Linked DNA regions of Ovis aries. Each later gene encodes a partner of the first gene's protein in a complex. Links are inferred from orthologs where the notes say so. Each region holds a gene or a part of one and is shown on either strand. Other genes may lie near its edges.

What was found.
Region 2: the proteins of CSF1R (region 1) and CSF1 are in contact, whole or in part, in a crystal structure (PDB 3EJJ), measured with the Mus musculus proteins. The link is inferred for Ovis aries from reciprocal best matches to the Homo sapiens genes CSF1R and CSF1. Residues at the interface, in NP_001032948.2 of Mus musculus: Arg142, Arg146, Leu149, Arg150, Lys151, Lys168, Val169, Leu170, Ser172, Asn173, Val231, Gly232, Phe233, Leu248, Ser250, Asp251, Phe252, Asp254, Asn255, Tyr257, Lys259; in NP_001107002.1 of Mus musculus: His38, His41, Met42, Gly44, Asn45, Gly46, His47, Phe87, Gln90, Asp91, Asp94, Arg98, Asp101, Glu110, Arg111, Gln113, Glu114, Leu115, Asn117.

What each region holds. Positions count from the first base shown.
Region 1 is NC_056058.1:59,154,165-59,161,118, forward strand, and holds part of CSF1R (macrophage colony-stimulating factor 1 receptor), read right to left. Parts: intron 5,326-6,954; coding exon 5,199-5,325; intron 5,063-5,198; coding exon 4,958-5,062; intron 4,523-4,957; coding exon 4,412-4,522; intron 3,729-4,411; coding exon 3,566-3,728; intron 1,707-3,565; coding exon 1,615-1,706; intron 1,513-1,614; coding exon 1,415-1,512; intron 859-1,414; coding exon 736-858; intron 667-735; coding exon 555-666; intron 1-554. UniProt on the Homo sapiens protein: Tyrosine-protein kinase that acts as a cell-surface receptor for CSF1 and IL34 and plays an essential role in the regulation of survival, proliferation and differentiation of hematopoietic precursor cells, especially mononuclear phagocytes, such as macrophages and monocytes.
Region 2 is NC_056054.1:87,228,181-87,235,884, forward strand, and holds the start of CSF1 (macrophage colony-stimulating factor 1), read left to right. Parts: upstream 1-3,430; 5' UTR 3,431-3,644; coding exon 3,645-3,683; intron 3,684-6,886; coding exon 6,887-7,009; intron 7,010-7,704. UniProt on the Homo sapiens protein: Cytokine that plays an essential role in the regulation of survival, proliferation and differentiation of hematopoietic precursor cells, especially mononuclear phagocytes, such as macrophages and monocytes.

The sequences.
Region 1 (6,954 bases):
TGGCAGGGCTGGGTGGCAGGTCCCAGCTGGACGTGGTAGTCAAACAGCAGCTCCCCTTAACAAGCGCTTACTACGGGCCAGGTGCTGCAAAAGGTGTCCTGCTTATTATAGACTTCTAGGATGTAGAAAGCCTTCGCCCAGGTCTCATTACACCCGCAGAATTGCAGCACAGGCTTTGGTCGGTGGAGGAGCACACTGACGGGCCGAGCCTGAGTACTTGTCTTAGTGCCCCAGAGATGGGCGCTGGGTCTTCAGGGACATGCACATTTCAGACAAGGGGAAACGACACTCAAGGAAGCAGCAACTGTCCAAGCAGACAGGCGAGAAAAAGCCTGGACCTGGAGTGAGTGCTGTCGGGGTGGAAGGGCTCAGCCTACGTTGGGAGCCACAGTACTTGGTTTTAAGATGCTTCCCCGACCCCTGCGCCCTCAGCAGCCCTTGCTCTGCACTGACCTCCAAGCCTCCTGGGCCAGCATCCCCCAGGAGGTACAGGTGCTATGGGTCACCAAGCACCAGCCAGCCCCACGCTGAGCCTGACCGGGCCAGCAGCTTACCGAGTGAGAAGATCTCCCAGAGCAGGATGCCATAGGACCACACGTCACTCTGAATGGTGTAGACGCAGTCAAAGATGCTCTCTGGCGCCATCCACTTCACGGGCAGGCGAGCCTGGCACAGCAGACCCCGGTCACCTTGGGCCCAGGGTCGCCACCCCTCCCCAGCCTTCCCAGCACTCACGTTGCCCTTAACGATGTAGTTGGAGTCATTCATGATGTCCCGAGCCAGACCGAAGTCCCCAATCTTGGCCACGTGGCCGCTGGTCAGCAGCACGTTTCTGGCCGCCACGTCCCGATGGATGCACTGGGAAGGCACTGAGGGTCAGTCCTGGCCCCCCAGGGTGCAGGGGCAGCAGCCAGGGCCGCAGAGGGCTTGGCGGATGAGGCAGTGGCCGTCATATTTGCTCCTGTACCCTGGCTCCAGTACCATGACCCAAGTTGGAGAAAATGTCATGTGGTCAGACAGGCAGTGTTGAGAAACCGCCGTGACTGGCCCTCTGGCTGAGAGCAGCAGGAGCCGCCTCAGAAGCTGGGTGGTCTGGAGCTGCTAACAGGACAAGCGGCTGCCACCCTCAGGGCTGGCCCTCCCCTAAGTATCTGCGCACACCGTAACCCTATCTTACCCTCATGCCATCCTACGATTGCATGTCTTTATAGGTGTAGAAACCTGGGCTCGGAGAGGTTCGGCAGTTGCTCAAAGCCACACAGCAAGTGGCAGAGCCAGTCTGTGCTGTGAGGAGCATGGCCCCCTTCACAAACTCCATTCTCTCTCCCGTGTCCTCACCCATCTAGCCTCACGGGTTCAGCTGCCCCCACCCCCCTGGGTGACCACAGAGAGGGACCCATTTTCTGAGACTTACATTCTTGGAAGCAAGAAAGGCCATGCCTTGGGCCACCTGGCTCGAGAAGTGGAGCAGGTCACGCAGCTCCAGTGGCCGCCCGTCCTCCTTGTCCAGGTCTAGGGCGGGTAGAGGCATTAGGATGGCCCCGCTGACCTCCCTGCCCTGCATTGACCCCAGCAACCCCTTTCCTCTCCCTCAGCCCCGGCACCTCCTCACACCTTGTTCAGAGAATGAGTCATTTGACGAAGAAGTGGACACAGGTCTCATCTCCACGTAGGTGTCCACACCCTGGCTGGAGAAGCCGCTGTCCCTGCATAGGAGAGGGGCCCATTATTTCTGCTGCCCAGCTCAGGCCTCGCCCAGCCACTCAGCAGAGAGGAAGGGCCCTGAGTCAACTTGGACTTCAGTTTCTGACCCACTCTCTCAAGTGATCAGCGACCTCTGCCTGGCCGTCCAGTAAGGAAGCTTACAGCTTGTTGCGTCTTTGTCAGCTCTGCCTGTTAGAAGGTCCTCCACTGTTCCTGATGCTAGTCTGGCCCCGGGCTGTCCCTCCTCCTGGTCCTTGCTCTGCCCTCAAGAAGTGTCTCCCTCTTTCCTGGAATGCCCAGCAAGGATTTGATCTTACGCCAGGGCCCCTTCTGTTGAGTCCACTTGTCTGCACTGTGTCTCTCCCTTCTGGCTTCACCCTGAAGCTCCAGATACACACTTAGCAGTTTTCTCTAGGCAATTCTGGTGTGCAGCCAGAGTGGACGCCTGATCTAGAGCTTCTTAAACTAATGCATGTGTGTGTGAATCACCTGGAGAATCTTATTTGAACGCAGGTTCAGACTCTGCAAGTCTGGAGGGGCCTTAGATTGTACATTCCTAACAGCTCTCAGAAGACCATGAGCTTGTGCTCTGGGTAGCTGTTAAGATTGGGTAGCTTCTAATATTTCAACCAGATAGGAGCCTGGACCTCTCACCTCCTGCCCCCTGCTGTGATAGAGATGTGCACCGTGATGACGTCCTTACTCTAGTGTTCCCAGAAAAACAATCCAGTGTTTTATTTATGGTCTGACCATCGAAAAACTATTCTCTCCTGTGGTCTAGAAACTATACTTCTATTAATGTAGCCTGGGATCCCATTAGCAGGATTGGTCCACATGCCACTTGCTCTTGAAATCGTGAAAATGGAAGCTAACACTTGACTTCTGTTCTCATTTCAAGTTGATCTGGCCTGAGTTCCCAGCCTGCTGAGGCCCAGCATGAGCCACCCTCTCCAAAGGGTGTCAGAAACTCCGAAGAGGAAGCAGATCCTGCCAGCCTGCGTGCTCGAGGTCACTGGATAGAGTGGCATGGTCTCCTTCCCCTTCTCCCAGGCTGGGTAGCTGACAGTGGTAAAATAGCTCAGTGTATACCCTCTCCTGATCCTGCTGCAGCTCCCAGCAGCCTGGCCCAGAGGCCTCACAGGCCCTGAGTCCAAGGCATGCAGGAGAGCGGCGTGGCTTAGGTGAGCACTGGACGAGGTGGCAGCAGCAGGGCCCAACCAGGCTCCGCCTCTGCCCCTGACTCATGTGTGACACAAAATGCCACTTCCTCTCTGTGGTTCCCCATGTGGCTCTGTCCCCCTCCCTCTGGGTGGCTTCCAGAAATCACAGCATTTCAGAGTGAGAGAGCAGAGACTCAGAGGCTCAGCCTGGATGGCTTCTTGGGGAAACAGGCCCAAGTGGACCAAGGACCTGGCCACAGCTATGCTGTGATACTTTGTGTTGGATGATGCCTTCTCATCCAACAAGGAACAGACTCTATCCCGCTTCCCCATGGCTACTCAAAATTGGGATGGGTGCTATGGGAGAAATAGGGCCATTATCCCCAAGACTTGCCCGTCTCTAGTTAGGGCCCTAAATAGATCTTATATGCACGATAAAATGATTCATTAACACCTGACTCCACCAGACTGTGAGCTGCCTATCTCTGCCCGCTATCCTCCCGGAACATAGTAGGGGATCAAATATTCCTTGGACAATAGGAATAAGTAGGAGACAAACTAAAGTGCCCACATAATACTGGCGGCTACTCCCCATAGCACGGGCGGGAAGGTGAAGCCCACACAGCCACCCAACCCTGAGCTGACTTTGGGAATAGACACAGGGCCCCACCTCCCAGTCCGGGCCTTTGCCAGGATACTACCTGCGGATGTATTTCTTTTCCAAGTGGATGTTCTTGTAGCCGGTGCCTGCCTCGGGATCCTGGCCTGGACTCAGGCTGGGTCCCAGCATGGCCTCAGCCTTCCTTCGCAGAAAGTTGAGCAGGTCACCATAGCAACAATACTCCGTGATGACAAGGACAGGGCCTAGAGCAGCCACAAGAGTGGGGTCAGTGCACCCTTAATCCACCACCCCACCTGGACAAGAATGTGGGGAAAGGGCAATAAGAACCTGGGCTGTGACTCTGTCACAGGTTCTTATCCTGCTTGTCTGTAAGCAGCCCTCCATGCTTTCTGGGCCTCAGTGACCACATCTGTCTAGAGCAGAGGGCCCTCCAAAAAACTAGCTGAAGAATTCTTTCTTCAAAGGAAAACTAAGGCAGTTCCATATAAGTCACAGTTGCTATAGGAGAAGAGAATGGGGTGGGCTGAATCCCCATGGGTCCTGGGACACTTCTATGGGCCCTGCAGTGAGTGCCCAGCCTCTTTGAGTCGGGGCTTAAAGTTAGGTTTGAAGGGCCTCACTCCAGACCCACAGCATCAGACTCTCTGGAGTGGGGCCCAGAGATCTGCATTCTTTGCTCCTTTTCCAGGTGACTCTGATGTCCCCACATGTCTGAGAGCCACTGGCCAGAGCTCCCAGAACTGCCTGTCATCCACAAGCAGCTTCTGACCAGTCCAGGCGTCTGGCCTAGGAATTCAAGGGGTGCCCAGACAGGGATCCTACCTTCACTTTGTGGGGATGGGAAGGGGAAGATGGATGGCGTGAGGCCCTGGGGCCCTCAGACACTCCAGATCATGGCCCCGCCATGCCTGCCAGGGCCCCTCACCTCCGTGGGTACAGGCTCCCAGGAGGTTGACTATGTTCTCGTGCTGGCCCAGGTGGCTCATGATCTTCAGCTCTGACATGAGGGCTTCCTTCTCGTCAGCGTGCGCCGTGGCTGGGAGGTGGGGCCACAGAGAAAGGGCAGGACGTGGAGGGCCACACACAGGAGACACGGAGCAAAGCAGGGGGCACCCGGAGCACCCACGGTAATCAGAAGCCGAAAGAGGCAGAGTCAATGGCATACAGATGAGAGTTGGGGGAGAGAGAAGAGGTGGCGTGTCACTGAACTGGTTTGGGCCAAGCTGGGGCCCAGCCAGAGCCCAGGGCGGCCTCTCATCCCAGCCCCTTTGGGCTTCAGTCAGAAGCCCTTCCACACCCAGGATAAGAGAGAGCCTGGAGCTCACAAAGGAAACAGAGCGGCTTCACGCCCGATCCCAGGCTCTGACAGGCCGAAAATGCGGGCGATGCCCCGTGACCACAGGACAGACCGTCCCGGTGGTGTCCGCCGCCTCCTACCCGCTCCCCCACCCCCGAGCCCTCCTGCACTCACACTTCAGCATCTTCACAGCCACCTTCAGGACAGCATCTTCCTTGCCCAGACCAAAAGCCGTGGCCTCTACCACCTTCCCAAAGGCTCCGGCTCCGAGGGTCTTACCTGGCACACACACACGCACAGCCTTCTCAGGTCCTGGGGTGCCAGACGGGCCTCCCTCTAAGGGCCCGCAGGCTCCCCGCCACCCACTCCGGCCCTGTGACAGGAGGGCGTGGGGGGTGCAGAGACCCCGGCTCACCAAACTGCAGGTTGTTCCGGGGGAACTCCCACTTCTCATTGTAGGGCAGCTGGGTGGGGTCGATGAAGGTGTAGCTGTTGCCTTCATAGCTCTCGATGATCTTCCAGCGCACCTGGTACTTGGGCTTCTGTAGGGGGCGGGGAAGGGGAAGAGGAAGGGGAGGAAGGTCAGCCGGGCCTGCCAGGTGGGTCTGGGACATCATCCCGACCCAGGAGGACAGGGGCTGGGCGGTCCCACCGCACAGCGCAAGGAGGTGGGTGTGTGGCCCGCAATTTGGCGACAGGGGCCATGCCACCCCACACCTATGGTACCAAGAGCCCAGTCCTTGTCTGGCTTGGCCTTACCAAGGGACCATCCATTCGCCAGGCCTCAGTTTCCCTAGCTGTATATTGGAAGATTTAGGACCATGTCTGAGGGTCTTGACAGCTCTGATAATTTGGTAATTCCTGAGCTAGGAGGGAGGGTGAAACTATAGGTCCGTTCACACATCCACCCCCCCATCCAAGTATCAGCTATTTTATTTTCACTTGTGGTGAGATACATATAACGAAATTCACCAAGTCAACCATTTCTCAGTATACCGCTCGGTGGTGGTACGTACATTCACACTGTTGCGCAACGAATCTCCAGAACTCTTTCCATCTTGAAAAGCTGAAACTGCCTTCACTAAACAACAGCTCCCCATTCCCACCTTCCACTTATCTCGTGCATCTGACCGTCCCAGGTACCTGATTTAATTGGAATCATGCAGAATCTGTCCCTTTGTGACTGTCTCGTCTCACTCAGCATGACGTCTTCAAGGTTCACCTATGTGGTTGCCTATATCAACATTTCCTCCCCTTTTAAGGCTGGGTATTACTCCCATCTAAATATTTCACGGAGCACATATTTGTTTCAGGCATCAATGATTCAGAGTTGAACAAAACAGAGTTCCTGTCCCCTGGAGTTTGCATTCTAGTGGCTAAGACAGGCATTCCACTCAAATACATACATACATAGGACTACAAATACAAAGTGTAGAAAAAAATAGATTTTCAGATGGCTCGATGGAGACAATACAGCAGGGCGAGAGGACAGAGGGAGCTGGGGACATTGGAAGACAAGTCAGGGAGGGCCCCCAGGGAGGTGAGAGGGTGCCGGCCAGGGGAGCAGCGGGGGGACAGGGGTGTGGAGGTGAGAGGATGCCGGCCAGGGGAGCAGTGGGGGGACAGGGGTGTGGAGGTGCTAAGGCTCTGGAGAGGCTGAGGCACTGGAGGTGCCACGTGGCTGGAGGCGAGCGGGCACAGTTCTGAAGGCAGGAAAGTCTTGAGGGCAGCCAGTCACTGAGTGAATTCTCTCCGTGCCAGGAGAAACCTCCTAGGCTTGATGCAGATGAGTGATGCGTCAGACTTTACAAAGTTAAAGGACAGATGGAGAGAGACCCCGCACACACAACAGTGAGCAGCTGGCGCACCCACTCAGGCTCTCCATGCTGCTCCAACCAGCCGGCCGGTGGCAGAGCCTGAACTTCGGGGAAGTGGCTGCCGCTCTCGTTCCTGCCCAGGGTGGCAGCTGCATGGGGGCATGATGCCAGGGGGTGCCCACGAGAAGTGCTGATGGAAGACAGAGTTTAGGTGGAAAGTGGAAGCTGGGGTGGAGCGTTGGAGAACACCGAGGCCTCGGGTCAGCAGTCCAACTCTCTTTCCGGTCACTCGTGGGGCATGGAGGCCAGCTGGGCTGTGTTGTTTAGCAGCTGGGCTCCTCCATGGGGCACCCT
Region 2 (7,704 bases), on another chromosome or scaffold:
CTCAAAATTCTCCAAGCCAGGCTTCAGCAATATGTGAACCGTGAACTTCCAGATGTTCAAGCTGGTTTTAGAAAAGGCAGAGGAACCAGAGATCAAATTGCCAACATCCGCTGGATCATGGAAAAAGCAAGAGAGTTCCAGAAAAACATCTATTTCTGTTTTATTGACTATGCCAAAGCCTTTGACTGAGTGGATCACAATAAACTGTGGAAAATTCTGAAAGAGATGGGAATACCAGGCCACCTGACCTGCCTCCTGAGAAACCTGTATGCAGGTCAGGAACCAAAAGTTAGAAGTGGACATGGAACAACAGACTGGTTCCAAATAGGAAAAGGAGTAGGTCAAGGCTGTATATTGTCACCCTACTTATTTTAACTTATATGTAGAGTACATCATGAGAAACGCTAGGCTGGAGGAGCACAAGCTGGAATCAAGATTGCCGGGAGAAATATCAAAAATCTCAGATATGCAGATGACACCACCCTTATGGCAGAAAGTGAAGAGGAACTAAAGAGCCTCTCGAGCAAAGTGAAAGAGGAGAGTGAAAAAGCTCAACATTCAGAAAACTAATATCATGGCATCCAGTCCCCTCACTTCATGGGAAATAGATGGGGAAACAGTGGAAACAGTGGCTGGCTTAATTTTTCTGGTTTCCAAAATCACTGCAGATTGCAGCCATGAAATTAAAAGACGCTTACTCCTTGGAAGGAAAGTTATGACCAACCTATACAGCAAATTAAAAAGCAGAGACATGACTTTGCCAACAAAGGTCTGTCTAGTCAAGGCTATGGTTTTTTCAGTAGTCATGTATGGATGTGAGAGTTGGACTATAAAGAAAGCTGAGCACTGAAGAATTGATGCTTTTGAACTGTGGTGTTGGAGAAGACTCTTGAGAATCCCTTGGACTGCAAGGAGATCCAACCAGTCCATCCTAAAGGAGATCAGTCGTGGGTGTTCATTGGTAGGACTCATGTTGAAGCTGAAACTCCAATACTTTGGCCACCTGCTGCGAAGAGTTGACTCATTAGAAAGACCCTGATGCTGGGCGAGATTAGGGGCAGGAGGAGAAGGGGACAACAGAGGATGAGATGGTTGGATGGTATCACCAACTCAATGGACATGGGTTTGGGTGGACTCCAGGAGTTGGTGATGGACAGGGAGGCCTGGAGTGCTGCAATTCATGGGGTCGCAAAGAGTCGGACATGACCGGGCGACTGAACTAAACTGAACTGAAGAAAACAAGAGGTTTATCTCGGCACATCACTTACTCCAACCTCTTATCAGTCCTAAGAACAAGTGGTGTCAACATGTTATCTATCTTAAATCATTTTGTACTGGGACCACTTGACAATGCCCAGGGGAAGTAAGGCCTTAGCCTCCTTCCTCTGGCTGGGCTCAGGCTCAGGCCTTCCTTCCTCAGGTCTCTGTGCATCCACGGCTGCCCCACGCCCTTTAAGCTCTGACTACTCCCAAACCCATGAAAGCAGAGATATGCCGACATGTCCATCGTCACATTCCCAGGTGTAGCCCAGTGCCCAGCACGTAGTAGCCACATGGTGCACATTTGTCAAATGAATGAATTATTCTCTAATGGCTTCATGTAATTCAGTCACTATCGACTGGGTACCAAGTGTGTGCTGGGCACCTTCAATTTAGAGGTAAACACAAGACAAGCTACAGTTTTTCCAGGAGTCATGTATGGATGTGAGAGATGTACCATAAAGAAAGCTGACCGCCAAAGAATTGATGCTTTTGAACTGTGGTGTTGGAGAAGACTCTTGAGAGTCCCTTGGACTGCAAGGAGATCCAACCAGTCCATTCTAAAGGTAATCAGTCTTGAATATTCATTGGAAGTACTGACACTGAAGCTGAAGCTCCAATACTTGGGACACCTGATGCCAAGAACTGACTCATGGGAAAAGACCCTGATGCTGGGAAAGACTGAAGGCAGGAGGAGAAGGGGACTACAAAGGATGAGAAGGTTGGGTGGCATCACCAATTCGATGGACATGAGTTTGAGCAAACTCTGGGAGATGGTGAAGGACAGGGAAGGCTGGCATGCTGCAGTCCATGGGGTTGCAAAGAATCGGACATGACTGAACTGAACTGAAATACAGGACCAGCTTGGAGGAAGTCTCAGTCACAGTGGGGCTGAAGCTTCAGTCTGATGCTCCAGAATATAGCTATCAGCATCCCTTGAAACACTTTTAGAATACTGTGGACAATGAATGAATGACAATTTATCAGAGAAACTACAGAGAAAGGAGCCAAATTCAGTGAGACCACAGGGACGGGAATCATTGATCTGCCTGAGTAGTCAAAAAAGGCTCTGCTGGTGAAGGATGTGGTCTGACTCCAGCCTTGACAGATGAGGTGTTTGCCTTAAGCACAAGTTGGGAAAGGAGCATTGTAAACAGAGGCACCAGTATTAATAAGAGCAAGCAGTTATAAAATTACTAATAGGGGCTGGAATAAGTGACAGGAGATGCCCCTTCCAGACATGTATTTCCCAGGGGATGGGGATGGGTGGAGCCACAGAGAGACTGAAACATTGAACCCTAGGAACTGAAGAAAGAAAAAGCTCTTGAATTTGACTTTATGATTAACAGGCTCGTCCTATTTAGCCTCATTTAGATTCATTCTCATATAGAGACAAAATGAGCTTAATCATTTCAGTAAATCCATTTTCAAAAGCATCAGGGAACTGTAGGGCTTGGGTGCCAATCTCCCCAGGTCTGAGGCTCAGGAGGGATCCTGGGTTCCAGCCAGCGTTTTCATCACCTGCAGGTCAGGTGTGGGAAGCATCTCCTGGGACACAGCAGAGTGTCCCAGTCCCTGTCACAGGACACAATTCATCCCCTTCTGGTCAGGTAGTAGCCTCTCTGCCTGTACCCTGCCCCCAGAAGAGAAGACAGAGGCTGGACGGGCGCTTTGGGGGCTGCATAAGGAGAGGGCTGCCCCCAAACCTGCTGACTAAGGCTCCACAAGGTGCCACAGCAAGCGCAGTCGGTCTCCAGTGTTCGCCCCTGCTCTCAGGCCATTTCCTGCTCAGATTTGGGAATTTTCAGACCCAGAGGGAAAGTCCCTTGAGACACATATTAGAACGAGAGAGAGAGCGCGCGCACCGGATCCGCCTGGAGAGCGCGGAAGGAAAGACCAGGCTCTGTCCAAAATCCGCGCGCTGGAGGGCGGGAGGCGGCGGAGCCCGCGTTACTTTCTTGAAGGCTTTGGCTTTGAGCGCAGCACACAGGGCGACTGGAAGACAAACGGAGAAGACCGGCCCGCTGGGTGGGGGCGGGGAGGCGTTCAGTGGGCCTCCGGAGTGTGTGTGTCTGTCAGTGCGCCCGCGCCTGTGTGTGTGCGTGTGTGTGTGTGTCTGGCGCCTGTCCAAGGTGATTTCCCATAAAGCACATGCCTCACAAGTCCGCTTAAAAGGCTGTGCCGAGGAGCTGGCCAGTGGAGCCCGGCTCGGGGAAAGTGAAAGTTTGTCTGGGTGCTCCGCGCGCCGCCGCGAGTCCCCCTACACTCCCAGGTCAGCAGCGCGGCCCTCGGCCAGGGCGCGGACTCTGCAGCGGCCAGCGATCAAGACAGCGAGCGGCAGAGCGAGGGCGGCCGACGCGCCCGGCCGGGACCCAGCTGCCCGTATGACCGCGCGGGGCGCCGCCGGGCGCTGCCCTCCCACGGTAAGCGATCGCCGCGGGGCCGGGCCCGGGCCGGGCTGGGACTGGAGCTTGGCGGCGCAGCCGGGCTCCTCGGAGCCCACTGCCCAGCGCGCGCCGACTGCAGAGGCTCTTCCGTCTCCCGGCACCGGGCCCATCTTTGCACGCCGACTGCGCGAGGCCCCTCTTGCGCTGGGGCTGGGACCAGAAGCGGCCCTGCAGCTGCTCCTGGGGCTGCGGCACCTCTTTGGGGAAGGGAAGACTGCTTACCCCATTGCAGGGAGAGGCACACGGAGCCACCTGCGGGCAAAGGAGAAGGGTTTGCAGTCAAGGGACAGAAGCTCCGTCCTAGACTCTCTCCACCGCCAAGGGACAGGCAGAATGGCTGTGCGCCTGAGGGTGGCGCCTGCCCAGTGGGCATTCCACACGGGCCATACGCATGCTTCTAGGTCCTGCTGGGGAGTGGGCGCTTCTGAATGGGGAAAGTTCAGGTGCCATCCAACTTAGAGAATGCAAGGCAGAAGGAAGGAGCTGGGCAAGCCACTACTTGTTCCAGCTCACAGACAGGAGCTGTTGGGCACTTGGGTGGCTGGATCAAGTCCGTTTTGTGGGGGATGGGGGTACCAGAGTTGCCTGGTGCCAGCTCTGGATCTTCCTGCAGATTCAGGTTCAGTCAGTCGGGGAGCTCCTGGGCTTGATGATGGTAAAGGAGGTGGAAGGAAGGTTTGGGGTTGCAGAACTGTGGGCAGGAGCTGCGGGCGGTTCACCACTGCCCTGCTCTAACCATGGGCTGTAGCTGGGGCAGCTGCTAGATGGTGCAGAGTGACTCCATTAATGGACAGTAAGGCAAACCCTGCCAGTGGGTTTGCTTCTGAGGAATTCTAGAGGAGAAACCTGGTGGGGGGTGGGGGGATGGGGGCAGCGAGAGAAGCAGAAAAATATTCCGAGGATAAGGGAGGGAGGTTGCAAGTAGGGTGATAGGGACAAGCCCTTCCATGAGGAGGAAGAGCCAGCTGAAAGAGATGAGATGGGGTTAGGAGGGGAAGTCAGGAAGGGTGAGGTGAGGGCAACAAGACAAATAGGGGCTGGAAGTGAGACGGTGAGGAAAGAAGAGGAAGGTAAGCATGGAAGGAAAGAGGCTGATTTTAGACCCTCAGCCTGAGGGTCCACTCATGCTAAGGTCTCTCCAGGGACCATTTTGCCAGGGAATTTGGGACATGGTGAGAAGCAGGTGAGGATGGGTGGCTGGGCTGAGATGTCTCAGAGTCTCTCTGAGCCTGAAGCAGAGATTCCTAGGGCTGCCCCAGAGGCCAAAGCTGGTGGGTGGGAAGAAGAAAGGAGGGGGGAGAAGAGCCAGCCCAGCCAGACACAAGCTAGAGTGTTAACCCTTGGGTACCTGTGCAGCTCCTCCTCTCAGGCCACGTCAAGGCCCCAGGTGCAGGGGTGGTCCCCTTTGGCCACCTTCAAAGCCAGCCTCCCACATGGTGGCTGTACACTCCCCACACTGATGCTTGAAATAACTGCAGAAGCCAGGCAGCCCTTGGGGTTAAGCATTGCCCCCTCCTGGCTGCCCTCAAACATCAATATCTTAACTCGTCTGTGACAAGGCTATCTTCCTGAGCATCCCCTTCCCCATGGACCCTTTCCTCCAAACCACTGACACCTGAGGCTTGGAGCCTCAGGGGCAACCAGCCTGGGGCAGAGACATACCTTCTGCATGGCCCAGTATCCTCCCGTGGGTCCTGAAGTGCAGGTTCCTGAGGGCTGGCACAGCCATTCCCACCCAGAACTCCCTCTTTAACCACCCAACAGAGCCCAGTGTTCCCTCCATGACTCTTTTCCCTCTTCCACAGTCTGCCTCGCCCAGGTCGGACCAGGACCCTCACCAGACCCTGGTGCTGAACAGCACTGGGCCATCCCGAGCCTCTTTCCTCCAGGCCCCCCTTCCCCCTCCTCTCTCTGCCATCAACTCCCCCCCTACCCCCCCCCACCTCTCTACCCACCCCCCCACCCCCCCATCTTTGAAGGTCTTACTGTGGCTTCTCCTCCCCGCAACCTCCCTGGAGCTCAGCCAGGGCTTCTCCTCCCTGGTAAGAGCTGACAAACATTTTAGGCTTTTAGTTCTATGTAAATCAGCATGTTGTTATGGGCTGCTTCACAGCCTCCAGTGTGCTATTTGTTTGCGCTATTTGTCTCAGCATCTGAATTAAAAGGCAGAGCCCAGAACCCAGGAAGGTACCAGCCTACACCCCACCCTGACAGCATTTCCCCCAATGTGCCAGGAGGCGACATCCAGCTTGGGAGAGACAGCCCAAGAGTCTTTCTTTGCCTCTGGCTGGAGAAGGGGGTACCTAGAGCCAGGGAGAGGGCTAAGGGGACCTTAGCAAGAAGGAGGAAAGTGGAATGACAGGGTGTCAGGAGCTCATCCATCACTCTGGGGACGAGCAGCTACTGGGTCAGGGGGGTGCTGAAAGAGGGGAGAGATCTCAGAAAATGTTCTTGCAATGATAAGAGCTGTCAGGCTGGATGCAGAGCCTGATGGGGCTCCAATAGGTAGGTGCCAGCCAGGGATGGTCTAAAGTTGGCACTGCTGCCTCTGATTAATCAGTTGGGCTCTTCTTGACACAAAGCCCTAGGGCTCCAAAGGTCTGTGATGCGGGATAGGTTCCCAGTGAAACTGAGTTTGGGCCCCTGGTTTTTCCATTAGCAGAGCCAGACACATGCGGAATCAGGTAGGAGGAAGGGCTGGGCCCAGAGAGATGTCTCTGGCTCCAAGTGTGGAAGCCAGCCAGTGTAGGAACATGAACTTGAGAGGAGTGGGCAGCTCCCAAGATGTCTGGCTCAGTGTTTGACGTTGCAGAGTCAGAATAATGGGTAGAAGCAAGTCCTGCATTCGAGGAGTTTCCTATGTGACTGGCATTTAGACTGGCAGGCACAACTCCCATGTCCTCATTAGAAATTCAGTGTAGAGTGGCTTGGCCTGGGTTAATCTGGGAAAGCTTCTTGGAGGAGGTGACATTTGTGTTGTTATCAAGGGAGAGCAGGGTTGTGTGTGGTTCTTAGGAAATCTTGATGAAGGTGACTTTGGGAATGCTGTATTCTGGGATGAGAGGCCGAGCCTGTAGCACTGTAGGTCTGAGGTCCTTGTTTTTCCATCCTCAGCAGGGGAGGGTGGTTCCTGGGGAGTGTGAGAGAGCTGGGGAGAAATGATGCCCTCTCTATCGCAGACATGGCTGGGCCGTCTGCTGCTGCTGGCCTGTCTCCTGGTGAGCAGTGGTGCTACTGAGGAGGTGTCGGAGAACTGTAGCCACATGATTGGGAACGGACACCTGCTGTTCCTGCAGCAGCTGGTGAGTGTGTGGCCCTGACTACCCCAGCTTCTCCCCACTGGGGAAACGGAGGCAGGGAACAGGGCCAAAGAGAGGGGTTGTAGGCAGAGGAGAGGAGAACGGCGGTGCAGGATGTGGCTTGTGGCTCCCACTAGCTCCACAGATGTTCTTCTCATTGACCTTCTAAAGGTCAATGCTTCTGACCCCTCACCCACCCCAATCCTAAAGCCCTCTCCAGCTCTCCTGCAGGCAGGGCACAGGGTAGGCTTCTAGCTGGTTGCCTGGGTTAATGATGGCCTCGAATGTCCATCAAGGACTCTGAAAAGGCTTGTAAAGCCTGCTCCCCCTTGATGGGATGCTTCCCTCGAGGAGCCAGCCCAGTCGGCCTCTGTGTCCAAATGTTGCCTCTAGCTCCTGGACTCCCAGATGTGCCACCAGCCTGGCACCAGGGCCTCAGCCAGATTTGGAAGGGAGACTCCCAGCTGACTCCCGGCCCTATCCCGACACTTCCCTGGCTCTTGCCCGAACCCTGGGGCTGGGATGGCCTGCTCACCCAGGCCTTGAAAGAACCCATGCCTCACCCTCATCAGGCCAGCAGAGATGTCAACAATTCCTAGCATGGTTCAGTTCAGTTCAGTTCAGTCTCTCAGTCGTGTCCAACTCTTTGCGACCCGCCAATTGCAATATACCAGGCCTCCCTGTCCATCACCAACTCC